5 linked regions of the Oryza sativa Japonica Group genome follow. The main gene of each other region encodes a partner of the protein of the gene in region 5 in a complex. Links are inferred from orthologs where the notes say so. Each region holds a gene or a part of one and is shown on either strand. Other genes may lie near its edges.

Region 1 (5,123 bases), on a different chromosome or scaffold from region 5:
ATACCTCAACATTTCCTACATAAACAGCAAACAATGTAATTACACTGATACCAACTGGTGTGATATTGAAACTTAAAACAACATATGGGTTTTGTATCTTACCAAGTCCAGTAGTGATGAAGAATAAATCTCCAGTTTTGTTCCATGCAATCTCATTTATCTGAGGAACAACAAATCAATAATTTACTTCAGAAAAGTTAACTGATCTGAGGAGCTATATGATTCATTTTTATCAGTAGCAGGTGTACGGGCATTTAGCTAGTTGAAATAGAAAATTTACAAAACTGCAACATAAGTAATGCAGCAAATGAAATTAAAGTACATCGAATAGTTAGGTAATTCACACTCAGTAGTCAGTACTAATTCAAATACCAGCAGGCAATTTTCCTGTTCCAGACAAAGATGCACATGCTGCCGACTTATGCCCACTCTACTTTTTCTCAAAAGGTATATGACTATATGTGCATGTTCATTCAGAGCAGCGAAAGATTCCAAAAGGAAGAAGAAAATTGCTAGAAGAATGTTTCAACAATTCAAACCTTCAAGTGGAAAGTACCTCATAATTAAACTTAAATTTGTGAAGGGCTTTTAGCTTCCGAACATCCACTATTGTCAACTCATCCTCCTGCAAATCATAGTGACAGCTGTTACTACACTTGTACAATTTTATAAAACTAGAACTCACAAAGTAAACACATTGGTGTACGCGGGACCTTGCGAACTAACTTGTAAACTTTATAAAAATAGGTTTACTACAATTATTATAAAATTTACACACCACTCCCCAGTCCCCATGCTCAATAACACTTTACTAACTTTGCATAGCAAAAAAAGTAAATAATTCCATCTAATTTAGGATCAATATGTATATATTCAAGTGTGTCCATACTGAGCTATGTTGTATTGATACTTATACAGAGAGCATGTCAAACACAAGAATGAACATTGCAATTTAGATGCTAATTTGCCAAATAACTCATCACTCAATCTAATATAAATCAGATTATAGTTACACATTTCTCTTTGGAAAGAATTTTATAAATTCCTTTCAAAATATTGTAACCCTCTTCTGGCATGATATATGCAAATCAAAACCAGTTCCTTAGTCATAAATGACTACCGTTCTTGAAGTTAACAGGGATAACAGCCTAGGCAATACATACCTTGTTTCCAACAGCTATTTGAGTACCACCATGTTTATAAGTGATATTGATGTTTTCTCCACTAAGTTCGACGACTTGACATTTTCCACCTGGAAAAGAACACGTCAAACAGTTTGAGAAATAGCGGGTCAAATAAATAATATAATTTTAAAAGGCAAACTGCAGGCCCAAATCTTGTAGAGTTATAAATAGAGAATCAAAAGTATGATGTACAATCCTATGAAAAAAATCGAAGTACAACTAAAAAAATTCTGAAACTAACTTTCAGGTAGAGTCACTACACAAAAGAATAAGACATCTTGTCTGGTAACAACAAGTTCATTGTAAATGGAACATAGGGATTGAACAAAGTGACAAAAAGGGATTCATCAATTTCAGAGAGAAGCTGAGAATGCTGAACACAACTGTGGATATCTTAGTTCTTTAACCTTCAAAGATGAAGGGAACCACTTACTCCGTGCATCCCAGAGGCGAATTGACTTGTCAGCAGCTGCTGTAGCAACTGTATCAGGATGCTTCGGATCCCAGCAGAGCTGATCTACACAATCTGTGTGGCCTTTCAATTCAATGTCTTTAACCTTGGACTGTGCAATATAAAAACCCTAATCAGCACAGTACTGACTTGGTACTTCCAGGGAAATAGAAACCATCTGGGGTTTTTTCCCCTCCTACGTTCCAACCAAAAATGTCTTAGTGTTCTCAAAACAATATAATTTAGCTTAGAATTTATTTTCCTCAAAACCGCAGGAGGGCTGCGCTTCCTTTCATTAAGAAGAAGAAATAAGTACAACTGAGGGATCCAAAAGAACCCCTAGCTAAGAAATCATTCACAATTTCACATTAAATAGCTCAAACATATGTCTCAGAGACACAGGCTATGGTATGCTTAAGTGTGATTACTGTCTGAGTTTCTATAATTTTAAATTATACAGCGGGAGATATTTCCAATTAATCATCATGCTTATCTTTCAAATTTATAGAAATGTTCATAAAAAAAGGGTGACAGTTATTCATAGTGAATGACAATAAATGCGTTTATCTAATAATTCCATAATAACAATGAAGGTTATTTTGTTTGCAATCAGGAAAGGAGAGAATGTTTACATGGCCATGGGGATCGATACTCCATACACGTGCAGTATGATCAATAGAGCCTGAAGCAAGCTTCATGCCTAGGCAGTTCCATGCTACAGAGTGCACCTAACAGTAAAACAAAAGATCAGAATTATACAAAATTTAAGGCTGATTATGTATGTAAGATAGATAAAAAAGAAGGCAAAAAGCGACAGAACCAGTTAAATGCTGCACCTCCATGTGTGGAAGGATTATTTAGAAAAACAAGAAACAGAATTCAAGAAAGAAACAGAGAAATATCGTTGTACTATGATTCTTTCTGCAAGTAAGATTTTTTTTTCCCTTTGAATTCTTCCCCTCAGAGGAGTAGCAACTTTACAAAGTCAGACAAGAAGTCCCTTTTCGTGAAACCAAATTCCTTCAAAAATTAGGAGTAATTATGACCAGGAATCATATTTGACAATGCGCTCATTCACCAGCTCCCAGAAGGAAAGCAACCAACCAAAGCTTCATTCAATCTCAACATGGCTTAGCCCTAGAGCAAAAGAATCAGCATATATACGGCATGAACGCGAGGAATCAATCACTATATCCTGCTCTAGAATTAGAAACAAAACCGTACGTGTGAACCAAAGATGGATGCATTTTCGTCCTAATTTTTGCTTGTAACATCCGGATTTTAGGGCTTCCCCCTCGCAGGACTTTTGAGGGTTTAGGACCTCATGAGAAAAAAACTTATCCCCGCGTAGGATTGGTGAGGGGGGAATCGAAAAGGTTACCTTCTTCTTGTGGCCGAAATACTCCCTCGACACCAGGTTCTTCAGGTTCATCCCCGGCGTCGAGCTTCCGCCACCGCCGCCCCGCCGTCTGTCGTCTTCTTTCCCCTCCATTGTCCCCGCGGACTGGGGCACGGGTCTGGTTTTGCTATTCCCCACTCACCGCGTCACGAGGCGCAAGGCGGCGGCGGCGGTGGCGGTGGCGGCGGCGGCGGGCGCGAGACGGAGGAGGGAGAGCCGGGGACGGCGTCGGCGGGGAAGAGGAGAGGGTTTTCGCAGAAACGTCCTTCTACTTTTTTGTTTATTCATGCCACAAGTTCATGCGTTATCCTTACCATGGAGCCATGGACACATCCTTTGGTTTTTGTTTAATTGAATCCATGCCATTGTAAATATACCGATAAATGTTATTACAATTCGTCTTTTTTAATTGTGACATTGAAATTTTATAAAATTAGAACCATGCCACTATAGTAATATTTTCCATCCATCTTCGTCTTCTTAGATTCATCTTTCCCCTCTTTTTTTTTCTCATCTCTCTCCACCACCTCTTTGGAGGGGACAGCCGCTGCGGCTGTTGGCAACTTTTTGTGACAAGTCGACAATTACGATCGCAGCACCTAAACGCCTTGCGGTGATATGGAGTCGCCAACCACCTCGATCTAGCCAAACGGCCAAATCAAGATGGGTTTTGTAGAAAAACAGCTAAACCGGCTAGCGGAGCCGATTTAGAGATCAAAAATCAGCCTCTAAGCCGATTTAGATCGATATGAGGATAACTAACCTGTCTCATAGGCAATACGGAAGGTTTTCAGGACAAATCTACAAAGAGGTGTCGCACTCTCGCAGCGGCGGCGGACGGTTTACGGCGCAAACCGACAAAGATGGATTAAAACTAGGGTAAAATAGAAAACATGGTAAAAGAACGATTCAAGTAAATTGTATTCGGGGGTTTTACAATGAACCGGCCTTGTCCCTTAAATAGGGGTTGGTCTTACCCTCTACAGGCCCTTCTCCATATCCAACTCGGGATAGAAACCAAAGGAAACACGAAACCTACCTTCCCAGGCAAGGAAACCCGAGACCCGACGAAAACAAACTCGGACTCGGACCCTGACGGTTTGACCGCCCACATACCTGCGGTCAGACCGGCCCTACTAGACGGTCAGACCGCCCACACACCTGTGGTCTAACCGGCCCTGTGAAGGAAACCCGTCACTTTCCAAACTTTGGCAATTTTCCTCTATTTCGTCCATAGGTGCCAAATTTGGGTGTAAACACATGCCCCCCTGCCTTTTTTGTAAACATACGTGAACCTAAAAGCATAGAACATGTTATGTCAGGGTGATAATCCAATTACCGCCCATAGGACTTCCTAAGCATCTTGCCAAATGCTCGGGAAATATTTCTTCAAGTATTTCCCATTAATTGCTCTCTGAAAACACCGTCTTGAAGTGTCTTCATCTCCTTCAAAGTCTTTAAACGCTTGTCGATGACGTCTTTAAAATTGTTTCCCATCAAGGTCTTGTAATCTTCAACCGACAAGTCGTCTTGCTTGAAATACCGAAGAGAGCCAAGATTTACCCCAACTGGCAAAACGACAATTTCAACAATGTTTTATTACTCAACTCGGCTTATCCATTAGCCTGAGCGTAGTAAAGAGAAGAACTCATCAACTTAATAGCATAAGATTCGGCAAAACTTCTCACTCCGTACAAGTAATATTCTCGAGCGGCACGGCTTCGGCCCACTTAGTGAAGTAATCCATTGCAACTAGCACGAACCAACGCCCTTTTGATGACGAAGGATAAATTTGACCAATGAAATCCAAAGCTCAACCTCAGAACGGCCATACTTTAATGATAGGATTCAACACAGCGGTAGGCGCTAATTGAACATTGCCGATCCGTTAACAAGCTTCACTCCCTCTATAACATTTGAAACAATCATCAATTATTTTCGGCCAATGAAACCACACTCTCCTAAGCAACCAATTTATCTTACGGGCCGATTGATGAATTTCACAAATCCCTTCATGTACTACTCTCCTAGCAACTTTAAACTGATCATTATCTAAGTAATACTCCATCTATTTTTCGGCGATATAATA
Region 2 (4,442 bases), on a different chromosome or scaffold from region 5:
TCAATTTGTAACTGATCTAAAACAGTCTAGTTGGATCAGAAAATAGTGGATAGCACAGTATCCCTATTCTTTTGCAGCAATTTTTTTGACACATGTTCCACTAGAAGGCACACCTGGATTTTTTTTGACACATCTTCAGTTAATTTCTGTGATGATTTACTGAAGTTCCGTTGTTTTTAACCTTCTTATCATATTTGCTTCTGGATTGTTCAGGTAACCCTCCTTTGTCAAATTGGTTCAGATTTGGCTTGTCAAAATTCTTCTTCAGTTACTATGAGCATTATAAAGGTGTGCTCTAGAATATTCCTTTCTTCCTCCTGTACTGTTATTTAAGCATTTGAGCATCTTTGTGATATAACATTATGTTTTTTATGGCAGTCATTGATTGGGCATTTTGACCTGGACCCAAATCGTGTGTTTGATATTGTGAGTTTTGATTTGCTGTCCACTTTTTTGTTATGCATTGTACTGTGTGAAAGCGTGTTACCGAAAGCATGTAGTGATGTTATTCTTGTATTCTGCTAGGTTCTGGAATGTTTTGAGCTCTATCCGGATAATACCATCTTTTGTCAGCTTATACCTCTTTTCCCTAAGGTATTCCTTTATCATACTTCATAGAGTATACTTCATACTTCATATGGTTATATTCCTTTTAATATAATAATGTAAACCTCCTCTAAAGATTATTAGCATACTTCATACAATATTTCAGCCTATTTTACTACTTCCTTTTATTGCAGTCCCATGCTGCTCAAATATTGGGGTTCAAGTTCCAATATTACCAACGATTGGATGTCAATAGCACTGTTCCACCTGGGCTTTTCCGGATAGCAGCTTTGTTGGTCAAATCTGGTTTTATTGACCTTGATAGCCTGTAAGTTTACTAAATCTCCTTGACTTCCTGATGGTTACAGTGATGTTAGACATCACCCAAAACAAAATCTGCAATTTGTATTCTTTATAAAAATATCTACTATGCTTTAAGCACACTTTTTTTTTTTAAAAAAACACATACATCCTCTAATAAGGTTTATGTCCATGTAAATTAATGTATGCATGTAATTAATGCCTTCGTATTGGGATTTACTCTCCAACTTTGGACTCTACTTTTTCTTCAGTGTTAACTCTTTACATTGGCTCCTGTTCTTTAATAACAAGAATTTTTTTAATTTCCTCTGATTCTGTGTGGCACTCTACCATTATCGATTTTGCTCAAAATGTATTAGTACAGCTACTGGTGTGTTAAAGGTTACACTGATTATGGTTTCAAGTTATCAATTTATCATTATGATTGCTCATAATGTATTAGTGCGGCTACTGGTGCAATCATGGTTTCTAGTTATGGATTGTTTTTACGTTCCTGATTCCTACTACACTATATGAGCATGACTTTTTTTTGCCACAATATATCTACTTGGGAATGGCCTTTCAACTCCAACTCTCATGAGTCATGACTTATATCTGAATTGTATTGCAGCTATGCTCATTTACTTCCAAATGATGATGAGGCATTTGAGCATTTTGACTCCTTCGTCACGAGGAAAATCGATGAGGTTAATATTCATTTTGTCCTCCTGAAGTTCATGTTTTTGGAAATATTTGCTATATCCAGGCATTGTGAAAGAGAGTTGTATGTATGCCATCTCATTACAGATTTAAACTTGAAATGATAAAAGTACAAATTCAATTGATAGTGCGACACCAAGCCCCCCCTCCCCTTCTTTTTATTTTGCAATTTTGCTATGTAACAAAATGAAATCCCACTGTTTTAAAAGAGGAAGAAAGACAATGTTGTAAATCATGATTCTGTATATGCAGGAAATAACACCATGATAATGCATAACCTTTGGGATTAGGATAAAAAAACGATCTGGGGATATAGGGATTAGAGGATATATGCAAAATGAATGTGTGGGGAATAAAATCGAAAGTAACATTTTGGATTGACAGATATGTAGATGTTGGCTTTATTGTGGTGTATGGGTATTTATCTTTAAATATAGGTACCTTCTGTTAACAAGATGTAACCCTTACGTAGCAAAACAACTTTGGTTGTGGAATGGCGGAACTTTATTTTTTTGTAGCTGAAAAATTTCAAGTTGAGCATGCAAATTTGTTCATACATTCCGGTGAAGTCATTTCAGAATCTATCAGGTTAAATGGTTCTGTAATTGAAAATAATCAGGATTTGTTTGTTTGTACTTCAGCACTTTAATGGTTGTGGTGTATTTTGCAATTTCTGGAACTTAGCCCTCTCTTTCTTAATTCCAGGCTAGTAATATAGGCAAAATAAATCTTGCTGCCACTGGGAAGGACCTTATGGATGACGAGAAGCAAGAAATAACTATTGATTTGTACACAGCATTGGAGATGGAAAATGATATAATTGATGAGCGAGCCCCTGAGATTGAAAAGAACCAGAAACTTGGACTTCTTCTTGGTTTCCTGTCAGTTCATGATTGGTAATGTTCATGTGTTCCATCAATTTATTTTGTCTGCTTGCTATTTGGTTAAATATATAATTGCATTTAGCAGTTAATACATCTATCCTTTTTTGTACTTATTATACTTTTGGTAACTGAATTCTACCATTGTTTGGCAGGGATCATGCACAACTCCTCTTTGAGCGTCTTGCACGCCTAAATCCTGTTGAGCATGTTGAAATTTGTGATAGTTTATTTAGGTTTGTCAACTTTCTCTGCATATGCAAGCATCCTCAACATTACTTGTAGTTCTCTGCAAACAGGGCATATGATGGTGCTTGATACATATGCCCTTGTATTACAACACATTCCCTGGTTAATATTATTCAATTTTGTTTTTTTGTTCATGCAGACTTATTGAAAGGAGTATTTCTTCAGTCTATGATATAATTTTCCAAACACATTATAAGATGCCTCGTAACCCTGTTTATATGATGGACACATCACCTTCCTCTTCACAAAGTTTTTCGGTTGATCCGCCGAAAGAGTTTTTCCAAATGCTTTCTGCTTGTGGACCATACCTTCATCGTAACACACAATTATTTCAGAAGGTAGTGTTGTTTATTTTCTCTGCTAATATTCTCATAGCAGTTCATGCTTGAACATGACATGCTTCCGGCTTCTGTTTTTGACTGGAGATTTTCTCTAATACCCCTATCACATGTATTATTTGTCTTGTGTTGTTAAAATTTGTGTAAACTAGTTATCATGAGTTCTTTTATCCAATCAATGGTTTTATGGTTGCCATGAGGCTTGTGACCAGATTTTTGTTTTCTGGCTTGCATTGTTGTAATAATTCAATAAGTAAAAAACACCGTTCTTGTTGCTTAACTACTACAGATAATTTATAATGTCTTGTAGCTTATAGTGCAAATGGGTTCTATTGACAAGTTGTTGCATATTCAAACGAACTATCCTATTATTAAATGTTTCCATTATGCAGTATCACCTGGAGTATCTATTAACAAGTTGTTGCATGTTTTACCTAATGTAGCATTCTCCATGTTAACTACAGGTTTGCAGAGTACTTAAAGCGTACCATCTGTCAGCAAAAGAGTCAATCCGTACAGCAGGTGTAATGTCTCCAGACTCGCGAATTGAAGAAGCACTTGGATCGTGCTTGCTACCATCATTGCAGCTTATACCTGCAAATCCTGCTGTTGATATGGAGATATGGGGAGTTCTTTCTCTTCTTCCTTATGAGGTTCGTAGTATTGTTCATAGTTTGTTTATTTGCCCAATTCATTTGTAAACAATGTTTTACAATTGTGCCACTCATTTTTAGACCCGTTATCGCTTATATGGTGAATGGGAGAAGGATACCGAACAAAACCCAATTGTCCTTGCTGCAAGGCAAACTGCAAAGGTTGATTATTTATTCCATGACTGAGTTTTCTTATGTTTCCCCTATAATTTTATCTTCAGCTGTCAATTAACTGTCCTTATTTTTTTGATTAGTTGGATACCAGAAGGCTCTTAAAGCGGCTTGCTAAGGAAAATCTGAAGCAACTTGGCCGCATGGTGGCTAAACTTGCCCATGCAAATCCAATGACAGTACTTCGGACAATTATCCAACAGGTATCTTGAATGAACAAGTGCATATAGTTGCTACTCCCTCCATTTCATATTATAAGTAGCTTTGTCTTTTTTTCTGGTCAAACTTAAAGTAGTGAAACAAAACATATTACCAAAATATATTCAATGTTAGGTTTAATGAAACTGATTTGGTGTTTTAGATGTTGCTAAATTTTTCTATAAACTTGGTCAAACTTAAAAAAGTTTAACTAGGAAAAAGTCAAAGTGACTTATAATATGAATCGGGGGGAGTACTTGGGATAAAGTTATTCAAAATATGTATATAACATTGCAGTTAAACACAATGTTTTTCTTTGGAAACATGAGATGTAACTACTTCCATTAGACCGGCGACTGTTGTTATTTACTTATTTTAGTAAATGA
Region 3 (3,136 bases), on a different chromosome or scaffold from region 5:
AGATGGCAAAAGTTTGTGTCCAATTTAACGGTACATCCTTTTGCGCATTTTTACAATTACATGAACCTTTTTCTTTCCCAATGCAAAATGTTAATTCTGAACTTCTCGTTGATGTTTACTGTTAATGAAAGTGCAGGTTGTGCTAAGCACATTTGAAGCTCAGCCTCTCAGTGACGATGATGGAAAACTTAACAATCTTGACCAAGAGGAAGATGCTGCTTTCAATATTAAGTACCTGACAAGTAGTAAATTGATGGGTTTGGAGGTAAGAACTTTTTGATCAGCTGATACTAACTTTTTATTATTGTTCACTGTTCATAGACTCATATGGCAATTGCTTCTTTGCAGTTGAAGGACCCAAGTTTTCGACGCCACATCCTTGTCCAGTGCCTCATATTCTTCGACTTTCTCAAGGCACCTGGAAAGACTGACAAAGAAGGTCCAACTGGGAGCATGGTTAGTCCACTAAATGACTTCTCTGATTGTTTTCCATGGACAGTTGAACTTAGACTTGAGCATCTGAAATTGTGCTGTTACCAAATTTTTAGTATTCACCTATTACTACATGATTGCTCTTGAGTTTGTGATAGTCACAACAGCAAATGTGGCAAAGCTAGCATTAGTTCTCATGAAACCATCAGCTCCTTTTTCTGTGCATGCTATGTGAGATCGTAAGTAGTCTGTGATAGCTATTCCCATTTTAGTTGAACCGATTATTATCACTTATTAGCATACTTCTCACAGCGTGTGCTACTGGGCATGTAAGTATTAACAAACACTGATTGCACAAATTGTCCAAACCGTATGAAGTTGCTTGGCAGTGCTAGTTTTTAGTATAACAGTGCCAACTAATACCAACTGCCTGCCTGATACAACTGGGTTATAGTGGCTAGTACAGACAATGAATCAGGATTAAGGAAATGCCACTCTGTACTCTGTATTAACTTTATGCTCTCTACAATCAGAAAGAGGAAATCGATTCTTGTGAAGAGCGTGTTAAGAAACTTCTGGAGATAATTCCACCAAAAGGGAAGGACTTCCTACAAAGCATCGAGCATATTCTTGAGCGGGAGAAAAATTGGGTATCCTCTTAGCTGCATGTAAGCAATATTTTATCTTAACATAGTAATTCTCACAACCAATGATTCTGTTCCTGCTGGCTCAACTTGAAGGTATGGTGGAAACGAGATGGGTGTCTAGCGTTTGAAAAACAACCTTTTGAAAAGAAACCAGGCCAAGCTGGAGTCAGAAAACGGTATGCTACTTCCTTTCTTCTGGCACTGAATTTGCCATTAGTCTATTATTGGTTCTGCTGTTGATGTGCTAGCCTATCATAATGTGTAACAGTTACAATAGATTTGAAATGATTTTAGTGCTAACTAAAAGAACAGCAGCTATCAACTGTGATATTGTCTTATTAAATACATCCCGCAAAGCATACTGTTTATAATTTTGATGGTACTGGGAGCACCATATCCTAAACATTGTGTCACTGGGAGCATTAACTTCAAATACACTTTATCTGAATTACCATGGAGCAGACAAATTAGTTATTTTATAATTTTGTGCTGCCAGTTTTTTTAATGTTCGCCAGAAGCAAGAATCATGAATTTCACCTGTTTCACATCAACATTCTTATATAGTGTCAACTTACAATGTTATGGATTTAGATGTGTTGTTATATGTATGAAGTTCACAATTTGTATTCATTTGTGCTAATGCAACTAGTTTCATATTTTTCATGAGTGAAGAGTGTAAGAATGGTCTTTGATATCGATTGCCTCGTTGAGTAGTTGTTTGTGGCATAGGTTTATTTAGAGAAAAGGTAAAAAAACAAATTAGTAGGAAATATAGCATAGATTCTTGGAGTTAACAAGCCAGTATTCTACTTCACATCCTCATGTCGATTTGTAATATGAATTCACACAAGAAAGTCCATGTCCAAATGCAATCTAATTCTTTGATATTTTGCTTTCCTTCCTTGTAGTAAGCCAAGGTGGAGATTGGGAAACAAAGAACTTGCCCAACTGTGGAAATGGGCTGAACAAAACCCTGTATGTTCTACCAAGCATCCCATTACTATTATGTTTGACTTGTTACTAATAGATTTGCATAATCCAGTTTAAAAGGGTTCCATCCGTTGAGTTCCCTATCTGTGCCTTTCTGAGTCATTTTCTATCCTTTTGTCATGCAACACTCTACTATTTGAAGGCATACATCTTCCATTAATCGGCCTTTCTCATCACTTTTTATCATTTTGTGATGCAACTTGTCCAACATTTAAATTCATCATTTTTTTAGCATTTATTTTTTTGCATCTGACTTCTAATTTCTCCGTGAGCTGCAGAATGCTCTGACTGATTCTGAACGTATTTGCATGCCATCAGTAACAGAATATTGGAAACCACTTGCAGAAGATGTAAGTGTTTCAATTTATATAGTCATTTTTATCCGTCCTTTTTGCTTTGAGCAAACCAATTTATTAGTGCAATCCTCTAATTATGTGTAACTTACAGATGGATCCATCTGCTGGTATTGAGGATGAATATCACCACAAGAATAATCGTGTGAGTATAGATCTCAGCAACACTATTTCCTGTTGAGATGATTATACTAAAATTTGGTTCTGTGATGACTGTACCAGAACCCAATTAATAAACAGGGTATAGCATAGGCTATTTACATTTAGGATCTGGTTTAAATAGGAAGATATATCACCTCTCGGGGAGCTAAAATACAATTATTCTTCTAAGCGGGTACTGCTAAGACTAATGCTAAAAAGACTGGGTCTATTACCATGTTACAAATGTCATCCAACCTCCCAATTTTTCAGTAGGAGTGGTATTTGTTAGCCTTTATTTGTTTGCTCGTATTGGGTGAATATGTTGATCCATGTGGGAATTAAATCAAGCATAAGTGCACTTCTGTGCTTACATTATTCAAATAAAATGTTGAAGTAAGCACATCCACCTTCTTCAATAGAACTTAGGTACTTCATAGTTTATTAAAATCAAGTGCATGATCTACTAGAGCAAATGATACCGTACATTGTTATCATGTGTAGCAAAAGAGAATCTGATATAGTTCTGGTCTACTGATGGATCATAGCGTGACATGTCCCACTCCCACACAGTGA
Region 4 (5,040 bases), on a different chromosome or scaffold from region 5:
CATCCTTTTCAGTAATTGTTTGTCAAATTTGATGCCACCAACCGACTTTAAAACATGATGCAGCTAAATCATGAAACTTTCTGGAAATCCTTTCAGGCATAAAAGTTTAGATATGTATGCCCTAAAAATAGTTTGAATACAAATACTTTGCTTGAATTCCTTCGAAGAATTTGCAGCACACAAAAAAAAATCAACAATGACTTGTCAGCTCTTTGTGTGTGATATTCATGCATGATGGTCAGATTCTTTTATGCATTGATTAACCTTATCTTCCTGTCTAATGATTATGATACACACCATTACAAAATTGTGTAGACCTGCATAAGGACTCAAAGGATGAAAGCAAGGTGTCAATGAACAAAATAGAGACCCACAAGAATGAAACTCATGGTACAAGCGATGATATAAATGAGAATACACCAGTTGAGAGAGTTAAAGGTCCAAATGTGTTTGAGCGTGCCAAGGAAGAGATTGAAGCTATTGTTGAAGCCTTCCACCCAAAGAAGGGATCTGACAAGTGAAGATTGAGATGTTCTGTTGCCTCTGTCTGCACTTGATGTGAAAACATTGACATGAGTTATTAATAGATCCATGGATGAGTTGTGAGATATCCATCGGCTGGTCTTATTATTGCCAAACTATGGAGTTGTAACTGTTGAATGGTTCATTGTACCACTGATATATATATGAGCAGAGTGTGTATCATGTGTGACATGAAAGTATTACTGTTCTTCAGTGTTTGATTTTAGTGTATGTTGAACTTAGTCCTTTGCATGATATGGTATTTTACTTGCTACCATACATGCAAAAATCTTTTGAGGTGCATAAATAAAGAGAGAGTCAATTGCTGTACAATTTTATAACCTTATGCTAAGCCTGTGGTTTGGGTTCAACATGCTTCACAAAATAACAGCATTTCCTTAGTGAAACAAGACAGAAACGCGAGATATGAACGATATGATACCTCAAACCCCATGTTCTTTGAAAAATAAAATTTTGAGTTAAATGTTGGTGTTGCTACACCTAGTAGTATAGAGTCTTGAAAAAAATTCCTCTCTTTTGATTTGTGTGGTTTCAAACGCTTCATCTAATTGATCATTCCTGTTATTTTCCTATCCATAAGATTTGAGGGAACTATTTCGAAGGATCCTTTCTCAAGACTCTAAACGGTGTGATTTTCTTAAAACTTTTTGTATAAATTTCTTAGAATACTGTTCTAATATTTTTTTTTAACTTTATACTCCATCCGTATTTTAATGTATGACGCCGTTGAATTTTTGACAAACGTTTGACCTATCGTCTTATTCAAAAAATTTATGTAATTATCATTTATTTTATTGTGACTTGATTTATCATCAAATGTTCTTTAAGCATGATATAAGTATTTTTATATTCGTATAAAAAATTTGAATAAGATGAATGGTCAAACGTTGGTTAAAAAGTCAACGGCGTCATACATTAAAATACGGAGGGAGTAACATTTATTTAATTTGTTTGTTCCCTCGAATAATTATCGCAACATTACGCGAAGCAACAACTCAAATAGATATTTCATATTATTTTATCAATGAATAAGATCTCGTCGTTGGCTTCTCATCACAAAAAAAATAAATATAAATTTATTAGAATATTGTTTTAACCTATTTTTTAAAACTTTATAACAGTTATTTTATTTGTCTGTACCCTCAAATAATTATTACAATACTGTACAAAAACAAATCAAATAGGGATTTCATATTATATTTTTTAATAATGAATAGATCTGGCCGTTGGTTTCTGATCTAAAGGCCCAGCCCAACCAGCCGCTGTCTCTTCCCCCCACTCCTCGACTCGCTCTCGCTTCCGAAGCAGCGGCGGCGGCGGCGGCGAGGCGAGATGGCGGCGGCGGCGTTGGCGGGGATGGACGCGCGGGGGTGGGACGAGGCGGCGTACAGGCGGGGCATCCTGCGGGAGCGGGACCTCTCCTGCCGCACCCTCTTCCGCGCCGTCTTCTTCGACCACCACGACGACGACCCCGACGTCCTCCTCGCCGCCGCCTCCAGCGACGGCTCCCTCGCCTCCTTCTCCCTCTCCTCCTGCATCTCCTCCTCCTCCTCCCATCCCACCCCACAGGTTCGTTCGTTCCCCACACCCGCTCCATGTGCCGCGTCCTCGTGCGCAGCTAAGGTGTTCGATCTTTTGTTTTGATTTGATTGGATTCAGACCCACCCGGATGCCGCGGTCTCTCTGGTTGATCCCGTCTGCATCGTCCAAGCGCACAGTGGCCCGGCCTACGACGTCAGGTTCTACCCGGATTCGCAGCAGCCGCTGCTCTTCAGGTGAATTGCTGTGCTGCTGCTCGTCTTCTCGGTGGCCGTTTTTGTTCAGGTGACATGGCATGACATTTGGCGACGTGATCCGTTGGTTGTGGCAGCGGCGGGGATGACGGGCGCCTTCGGGGATGGAGATGGCACGAGATGCAGAGCTGCCTTGTGCCGCTATCTCTGCAAGGTGCTGCAAAAGAACCCTCACTTCTTACTAGGATTGACTTGGTTAATTAGTTTGGTGTGTGCTTTACCTAGAAGTTCTACCTGTACTTGCTTGCGCACACCCCACAAAGAAAAGGCTAAATTTTTAACAAAGATGTAAAACATTTTGCAAGTCCCATTTCCTTTTCTAGTGCTCTAGTGCATGTTTTTTTTGTGGGGCTAATGCATGTTGTTTAATAGGTTACTTTGTCATTGCTTTTCTTTCCAGGGGATCATTTGGAGCCAGTACTTGATTTGGTGAACCCTCAGCATGAGTAAGTATTCTGTGAAAAAGGACATACATCTGATAATCATTTGACATATCGTTTATTCTAGAGAAATATGCACTTGCACTCTCATCCTCCATCTTTTCAGAGCTTTTGTTTTCGATTTTGTAGGGGTCCTTGGGGTGCTCGCTCTCCAATACCTGAAAACAACGCCATTGCGATTAACAAACAGGTCAACACCAGAAAGTCTGCATTTTCACTTCATCCAAAGAAGCAAAATAATCTCTTGTGTGCATTTTTGTTCATCGTGTATATTATATAGAAATGATGCATATTGTTACTTGCTTAAAAAAAGATATCTTATTCAGTTATTCTTTCTCATCATTCTTCTTCGCAACAGGAAGGATCTGTTTATGCAGCGGCCGGGGATGCATGTGCTTATTGCTGGGATGTGGTATGTATTTTCTTGAGGTAAATGCAATATATAGAAGTCCTGAGCTACATGGAAGGAACTACAGATTTCTTATGATTCATGTGGCACAGGCTTCCATAATTTTCTATTTTCTGTGTGCCTGCTTGAGAAAATATCTGATAGTAGGTTTTACAATGTCTTGTTCTTTCAGGAGAGTGGTAAATGTAAAATGACCTTCAAGGGACATACTGACTATTTGCACAGCATTGCAGTCCGCGAAGCGAACCGCCAGGTTGGTTTGTTATTATTGTACTGATGTAGTCCAATACCATTTTCCCATAGATGTCTTGCCTTCATTTTGTAGTAACTTTTAGTTAATAGAGCCTTTCCTTTTTCAGGTAGTTACAGGATCAGAGGATGGCACAGCCCGTATCTGGGGTGAGCAGTGCTTTTGATAGGATAATTTTGTCTTGTACTTGAAGTGTGCCTTCTCATGTTCATCCTGTTCTAACTGGTCATTTTGTATATCTGCTCGTTGATTCAAGCAAAGAAAAAGCACCAACTAGCTATTTGTCTTTTTGTACTCTTTAATTCACATCTGGTGATCTGGTCACAGGTCACATCATATTCACAAAATTTATCCTCTCTCTTATGAGTTTACCTTCAGACAGGTTTAGAAAGATTTGGCACTACATGGAAATCCATAAAAAGGCATTCTCTTATTTCTGCTCTTTGTGCACTGCAGATTGCAGAAGTGGAAAGTGCACTCAGGTTATACGTCCGGTGAAAAACAAGATTTTTGAGGGGTCATGGGTCAGTTGTGTTGCCATTGATGCAAGTGAAAGCTGGCTGGTAGGATGCACTTCAAGCTGATATAACAATGTGTTATGCATCATGTATTTTACAGTTATTATTATCTTGGTCCTATTTTTCCCAGGCTTGTGGTACTTCTAGTGGTATATCAGTTTGGAGCCTTCTTTCAAATGAGTGCATCTTTAATGTGGATTGCCATGCTCCTGTTCAAGATTTGCTGTTTGACAGAAACCAAGTAAGTCTATCTATTCGTCATGTTCAAGCTAGAGTTTAGCAAACCAGTAAAATTGCCCATGGTTAGAAATGGCTCATCTTGTATTTCAAAGATGGGCTGGCAAAAAATTTAGGACGGATCATTCCATTCTTTAGTCTTTGTGAGTTTAACAAATGCTATACCTGTAGTAAATTAGTGTTCCCCTAGTCAATTATTTCCATTAACAAGTCATATGATAGTTCCACAAGTGCATGATTTATCTATTTAACCAATGCCCTTTCTAAATTTTTTTATGCATAATTGTTTGCCAAATGAAAGTTTGCATAATTGTGTGGATATGAAATTATTATCAGATAATCTCTCAGATATGCACAGAAAATGCAATAAATTATTTCCTGATGATTTATGACATGGTTGCCAAAATTTGAAGCTTTGTGATGTTATTGTTGGAGAGAAACAGAATAAAATCAAAAGCTTTTGCTTCCAAACAAATATAAGAGTGACTCTTCAGCCAACTAGTTATTATTCCTGCAAGGAAAGCTTTTTATTATTGTCTGCTCACATCTATTAGAGATTTACCAAAGCAATGTTGAGTCTGGCGATAGACAATAGAGCAGCACGAAGGATGCATTGTTTCCCAACTCTTGTGGTTTAGGAATTATCAACTGTTTGTTTTCTTATACTCCATTTTCACCATTCAGATCTTAGCAGTCGGTGCTGAACCTCTGCTCTCTCGTTTCTCTATCAATGGGACTCTTCTTTCACAAATCAAGTGTGCTCCTCACTCAGCATTTTCTGTCTCCATACATTCTTCAGGGGTATGTCTGTCTGTCTCTTGATTCTCATTTTGAAATGACTTGGGTATCT
Region 5 (4,953 bases):
CCCATGGTGCATTCTCGTGTTCAATTTGAGGCCACTTCAGCTTAGTTAAATAATCAAGCTGCCACCTGTAATCAAATAACTCAAAAACATATAAGAGGTCATAAGTAAAAGATACAAGATGCTACTAATCACAAAGGAAATGCATAGTACTCATAAGAAAAAGGAGACGAGATGTTCACAAACTTTGCTCATCAAATATTTTTCATCAACTAATAATGTAGCACGTCACAGAATGACATGTGCAATGAAGCAAAAACTCATCAGCCAAAGTACATTTCCTCCATCTATAAGGATCTACCATCCAAATTTTGTTACATCCCAAACTACAAGATTGTGAAGCAGTGACTCACGTAAGAGCCATCTGTGCAACCTTCCGTGAGCGGATTCTCTGCAAAATAGTCTGTGCACGATTCTGCTGACGGTATAAAGCAAGCCCAGATGACAAGTCCGCACTTCTCGATGCTCTGTTAGAATCATCACCAACAGATAGAGGCACTTCTGGCAAGAAATCTATACCAGCTAGATGTTGTGCCCACTTGTATGGCCTTGAATCCTTTTCACTGAAGTTCGGAACCTCCCCAGCATAAAGTTTAGCCATCTGCATAAAATTGATAAAACGACTCTCTTTAAGATAATATAACAGAGAACTAACCAAAAACATTTGGCTACCAACATGAGATAAAGCCATGATAGCTCACTGCTGCCTATGGCCACAAATATAAGGAAACCAAAATGACCTATCAACTAGAGATTGTCACAGAATGATTTGTATATATATTCCTTTAAAAAAACTCAAGTGGTGGTGGTGAATGGTGAATCTGCCTTAACCTACCACTATGATATCTCCTGACATGTGGGACCATCAAATAGTGATATGAACAAGTAGGTATACTGTGTTAGGTATCAAAACAATAATAAGAGAATTTTATACAAAGTATTTAAGGGGAAGATATCAAATTCCAACAGCAATATGAATTCTTGGATTAATATTTGAAATGGTAATGATATGATTTTTTTTCTTTTAATTCCATTAAAATGCAAGGGCATTCAGCTAGCAATAGTCAAAATCAGCTGATTCCAACCTGATGAGGCAACTCTAAACCAGTGTCATCTGGAAATAAGTTGCATAGGATATCATGGTCCAGCCCCTTTGAATCTTCAATTCCAACACAAACAACGTTCAACTTTGCCAAGTAGTCGAATCTCAGGACCATGAGCTTACGACGCTTTGCTCCAGACTCTTCAGTGTCGTATACATGGAGAATAACTTTAAGGGGATGAAGTTGATATGCCACTACTGAATTACTAGCTTCCTTCACAACACTTTTTCTTGACCTTGACCTTCTTCTTTGAGCATCTTCTTCATCATCAATTGCATCGTCATCCACTCTATTATCACCATTTGACAAAGTGCCAGCTATTGCAGATACAAAAGACACGCTTTATCAGAAATATTTCCTAGTCTACCACCTTTACAGATTATAACAAGTGGAAGAGAACCATTAGCAATCTGATTCTAACCATTATACAAGTATTGAAGCAAGCATGCATTATTTACATGCAGCTTCAATTTGTAATGAGGAACTAAAATATAACAGCTTCCATAAAAGACCGGGGCTTCTATACTGCTATATGAGAACGAACTGTTTATGCTAGACACAAGTATCTACTAGGAAATTGCATCTGGTCATTTAATATGTGGCTACGCTACATTGCTTTTCTAAAAGTAGTAAAAAGGATCCCTTACATATCATACGGTACATGAGAAGAGATAGAATAAATGTCATTAATTATTGCGAGTATTGCACTTCTGTAATAGGAAATCAAATAAACTATATTCCAATGAGATATGATTATATGAACCAACCATTTTCCTGCTTAGCTTGCTGTTGAGCAAACATCTGAGCATCCTTTGTGCTTCCAGTGATCTCCACTTCAATATTCTCTCCGAATGCTTCTTTCTGTCCTAAAAACTGCGTGTAAACTATATATAGAGGAGTTGGAAGCAGTTCAGCTGCATGATGCTGCTTTAGTTTCTTGGTATGTTGCATCCCCAGCTGCTGCTGCACTGGCAATGATGCTTTCTTCAGTGATTTCAAATGGGTTGGGAGGCTCGAAAGGAACTTTTTCTGATTTGCAATTGTGTCCAACAAACTGCTCTTCCGCTGCTCCAATTTCTCATGTAGCTTGCATAGCTCTTTCCGCTGTTTCAGATTTCAAACTTACTTTAGATATCAGAACAAATATTGGGACCCAAACAAATCAAGACCACACTAGCACAAAGGGAGTAAGGGACTTTTGTCCTAGCAAGCAAACACATATTCAAACAACTAGAGGTGATAAACAAATTAAGCAGATCAAATCATATCCAAAAACATACTACAAACCTTGATCACTAGTCACACAAAGAATTATCAGATTTAAGAAGAATTATGCAACTGACTAAAATCAATATACATAAAAAGAGTTTCCATAACAACAAAGCGTTCTACTTAAGAACAGTTTGATATATGAGCACTCTAAACTACAAAAATAACGGTGAATTTATAAAACATTTTCTATATATACATTTGAATTTTTGGAGAACCAATCCTGCAAGCCAAGCTAAATATTTACGTTAAATTTACTAGCAGGTCAACCCAGCTACGATGTGATTCTTTCTTTCGATTATTACCCTGATCCTTCAGAACAAACCCCCAATCTAAATGCTCATACAATCCTGTACACTCTCTATGATGCTTTAATCATTTAGACGAACAATGAACAAAGCACAAGAATTTATCCCATGACAAGTAAATCTCCTATTTGTGTAGGAACTGAATCAACTGATCACGGTACACAACCTGGACTAGCTCGAAATTGAGGCGCTTGAGCATGAGGTCGTGGGACGCGTCAGCAGCGAGCGTCTTATCGCGGATGTCCGCCGGCGCGGCGCGGTGGAACTCCTCCGTCGGCACGAGCTCTATGCCCGGGTACTTGGTCTGGAAGTCGAGGCACGCCCTAATGGCCTTCACGTAGTGGTTCTTCTCGTACAGAAGGTTGTGCAGCTGCAGCGTCGTGGAGTCCACGGGCGCCTTCGCCGCCTCCGTCTCCGCCTTCACCCTGTCCTCCTCCATCAGTATCTCCCTGTTCGCCTGCGCAAATCCAAACCCTCGAGTGAGCAAACAGCAGATCTAACGCGAGGGGTTCCCGGCGAAGAGGCGTTGCGGATTCGGGAGCGGCACGGACCTGGCGAAGCGTGATGAGGAGGAGGGACATCTGGGCGACGAGCTCCCGGAGCTCGGTTCTGGGGGCGTCGTCCTTCTTGATGGCGAGGATCCGGGCGGCGACCTCCTCCACGGAGGCGCGGGTCTCCGCGAGGAGGTCGTGGGGGGACTTGCCCTTCGAGGTGGATACAGTGCTGGTGGTGGTGGTTGGTCGCGCCGGCGCCTCGACATCCATGGCTTCGGCCGCTGCTGGCTCCGCCGCCATCGGTCCGGCCGGCGCTGGGAGAGACGATGCCCGAAGCGGCGAGAGGTGGTGGGAAGTGAGGTGAAACGATTCGTGGCTGACCTAGAGTTGTCGTGCGGGCTAACGGTTCAGCGTTTCGGGCCCAATTTGTAGAGAGAGAAAGAGAGAATTACCGGTTAGGCCCAGAAGGGAGAACCGCTCGGCCCATCTAACCTTTAGACACTTAAAGGAGGCCCATGTGGCAGATTTTATTTGGAGGAAATAAGTCCACTTTGATTACCTTAAAACTAGTGAACCAGTCTTCAAAATCGTAATATCGGATATCTCGATCCCTCAACTACTAAAACCGGTACAATTTAAATCATCGGAGGTTTGCTGACGTAATGCCTACGTGATGGTGTTGATTTAGTTTTTGTCTCACGTGACGCTTATGTGATATTAGAATAAAAAAATATATTGTCTCCATCTTTTTTTATTTGACGTTTGAGACAGCTTTGGAAAATTTAAGGAGTGCATGAGATTACCCTTTTCCCCTTCGTTCTTTCTCCCCCAATCCCACTGTTGTGTTTCTTGCACGCCACTCGCCGGTGGCGGACCAGCGCTCCACCCTCCACTAGCTGTGGCATTTCTTGCATGCCGTGCCAGGGTCGAACCAGTGCTCCACCCCGTCATTCCATGAGCCCGTCTACATCCCGACGACTACGCATCTAACCGATCGGTAGTGAAGCTAGAAAGTTTCCAAAGCCGCAAATCCAACTATAATAAGTAGGTCATTTCCAACCCAATGACTAGGATGGTATCCGTAACATTAAATAAAACTGTCACCTAGGATGAAAAATGATGTGGAAAGTGAATACATGAGAAAAGAGAAGGAAACCTTGTCTTATATGAGACTTGGTTTCTACACAACATCCAAGACATCATATGAGATAAATAGCATTAAATTTAAATATATATAGTGATGTTTGTATTGGAATAGTAGTGTCTAGTACCAGTTTTTTAATGATGTAGAGTTTATGGAAACTATGTGTAGTGTTTTGAGTTAGGAATAACCTAATATATCAAAATTTACAGCGTGTTCGCTGCAACGAACCTGGGGAAGAGGCGGAGCCGGTCGACGTGGAGGGCACGTGCGGGTAGCCATGGAGGCCAACAACGGTAGCAGGGCGGTGAATAAGTAGTACCGTGATTCTTGGTCAGGCTGAATCTTGGGTGTGTGTATTTATTGAGTAATCAGCTAATCTTGATCGGTAAGCATAACACGAACAAATTGCGAGTGAAAGCCATGACTTCGTGATGTTTCCCTGCAATCATCTAAAAGAAAACTTACAATATGATATCTCACTTGCGGCGGCCTATCTCTAGTGGATTCACCCCAATGATAAGGGCGGAGTCGAGATTGTGCATTGTGGAGAAGAAGACGAACATAAACACTCCGTGATTGTATCAGTAAACTTTCTTTGCCATGTATGATCATCGATCACTCTCTGGACGTCCGACTAT

The links.
Region 1: THO complex subunit 5A (region 5) and THO complex subunit 3 share a complex: the UniProt entries of both Arabidopsis thaliana proteins name them as parts of the THO complex. The link is inferred for Oryza sativa Japonica Group from reciprocal best matches to the Arabidopsis thaliana genes THO5 and TEX1.
Region 2: THO complex subunit 5A (region 5) and THO complex subunit 2 share a complex: the UniProt entries of both Arabidopsis thaliana proteins name them as parts of the THO complex. The link is inferred for Oryza sativa Japonica Group from reciprocal best matches to the Arabidopsis thaliana genes THO5 and THO2.
Region 3: THO complex subunit 5A (region 5) and THO complex subunit 1 share a complex: the UniProt entries of both Arabidopsis thaliana proteins name them as parts of the THO complex. The link is inferred for Oryza sativa Japonica Group from reciprocal best matches to the Arabidopsis thaliana genes THO5 and THO1.
Region 4: THO complex subunit 5A (region 5) and THO complex subunit 6 share a complex: the UniProt entries of both Arabidopsis thaliana proteins name them as parts of the THO complex. The link is inferred for Oryza sativa Japonica Group from reciprocal best matches to the Arabidopsis thaliana genes THO5 and DWA1.

Annotation. Positions count from the first base shown.
Region 1 is NC_089043.1:11,600,595-11,605,717, reverse strand, and holds the start of THO complex subunit 3, read right to left. Parts: upstream 3,305-5,123; 5' UTR 3,128-3,304; coding exon 3,017-3,127; intron 2,364-3,016; coding exon 2,268-2,363; intron 1,748-2,267; coding exon 1,618-1,747; intron 1,253-1,617; coding exon 1,164-1,252; intron 626-1,163; coding exon 557-625; intron 161-556; coding exon 103-160; intron 16-102; coding exon 1-15. UniProt on the Arabidopsis thaliana protein: Acts as a component of the THO subcomplex of the TREX complex which is thought to couple mRNA transcription, processing and nuclear export. Contributes to the integrity of the endogenous trans-acting small interfering RNA (ta-siRNA) pathway.
Region 2 is NC_089035.1:40,603,813-40,608,254, reverse strand, and holds part of THO complex subunit 2, read left to right. Parts: intron 1-213; coding exon 214-288; intron 289-378; coding exon 379-426; intron 427-525; coding exon 526-594; intron 595-740; coding exon 741-874; intron 875-1,477; coding exon 1,478-1,553; intron 1,554-2,271; coding exon 2,272-2,462; intron 2,463-2,602; coding exon 2,603-2,683; intron 2,684-2,835; coding exon 2,836-3,034; intron 3,035-3,498; coding exon 3,499-3,687; intron 3,688-3,768; coding exon 3,769-3,849; intron 3,850-3,941; coding exon 3,942-4,061; intron 4,062-4,442. UniProt on the Arabidopsis thaliana protein: Acts as a component of the THO subcomplex of the TREX complex which is thought to couple mRNA transcription, processing and nuclear export.
Region 3 is NC_089037.1:612,549-615,684, forward strand, and holds part of THO complex subunit 1, read left to right. Parts: coding exon 1-30; intron 31-136; coding exon 137-265; intron 266-348; coding exon 349-456; intron 457-965; coding exon 966-1,082; intron 1,083-1,172; coding exon 1,173-1,255; intron 1,256-1,987; coding exon 1,988-2,054; intron 2,055-2,347; coding exon 2,348-2,419; intron 2,420-2,516; coding exon 2,517-2,567; intron 2,568-3,136. UniProt on the Arabidopsis thaliana protein: Acts as a component of the THO subcomplex of the TREX complex which is thought to couple mRNA transcription, processing and nuclear export. Contributes to the integrity of the endogenous trans-acting small interfering RNA (ta-siRNA) pathway.
Region 4 is NC_089043.1:16,266,207-16,271,246, reverse strand, and holds the start of THO complex subunit 6, read left to right. Parts: upstream 1-1,820; 5' UTR 1,821-1,875; coding exon 1,876-2,112; intron 2,113-2,202; coding exon 2,203-2,318; intron 2,319-2,413; coding exon 2,414-2,490; intron 2,491-2,736; coding exon 2,737-2,782; intron 2,783-2,905; coding exon 2,906-2,966; intron 2,967-3,134; coding exon 3,135-3,188; intron 3,189-3,357; coding exon 3,358-3,442; intron 3,443-3,544; coding exon of another isoform or gene 3,545-3,548; coding exon 3,549-3,584; intron 3,585-3,891; coding exon 3,892-3,998; intron 3,999-4,083; coding exon 4,084-4,194; intron 4,195-4,874; coding exon 4,875-4,991; intron 4,992-5,040. Other genes in the region: uncharacterized protein, read left to right, coding at 316-521. UniProt on the Arabidopsis thaliana protein: Acts as a component of the THO subcomplex of the TREX complex which is thought to couple mRNA transcription, processing and nuclear export.
Region 5 is NC_089036.1:32,789,249-32,794,201, reverse strand, and holds the start of THO complex subunit 5A, read right to left. Parts: upstream 3,522-4,953; 5' UTR 3,472-3,521; coding exon 3,229-3,471; intron 3,135-3,228; coding exon 2,844-3,134; intron 2,205-2,843; coding exon 1,868-2,204; intron 1,418-1,867; coding exon 1,083-1,417; intron 599-1,082; coding exon 351-598; intron 66-350; coding exon 1-65. UniProt on the Arabidopsis thaliana protein: Acts as a component of the THO subcomplex of the TREX complex which is thought to couple mRNA transcription, processing and nuclear export.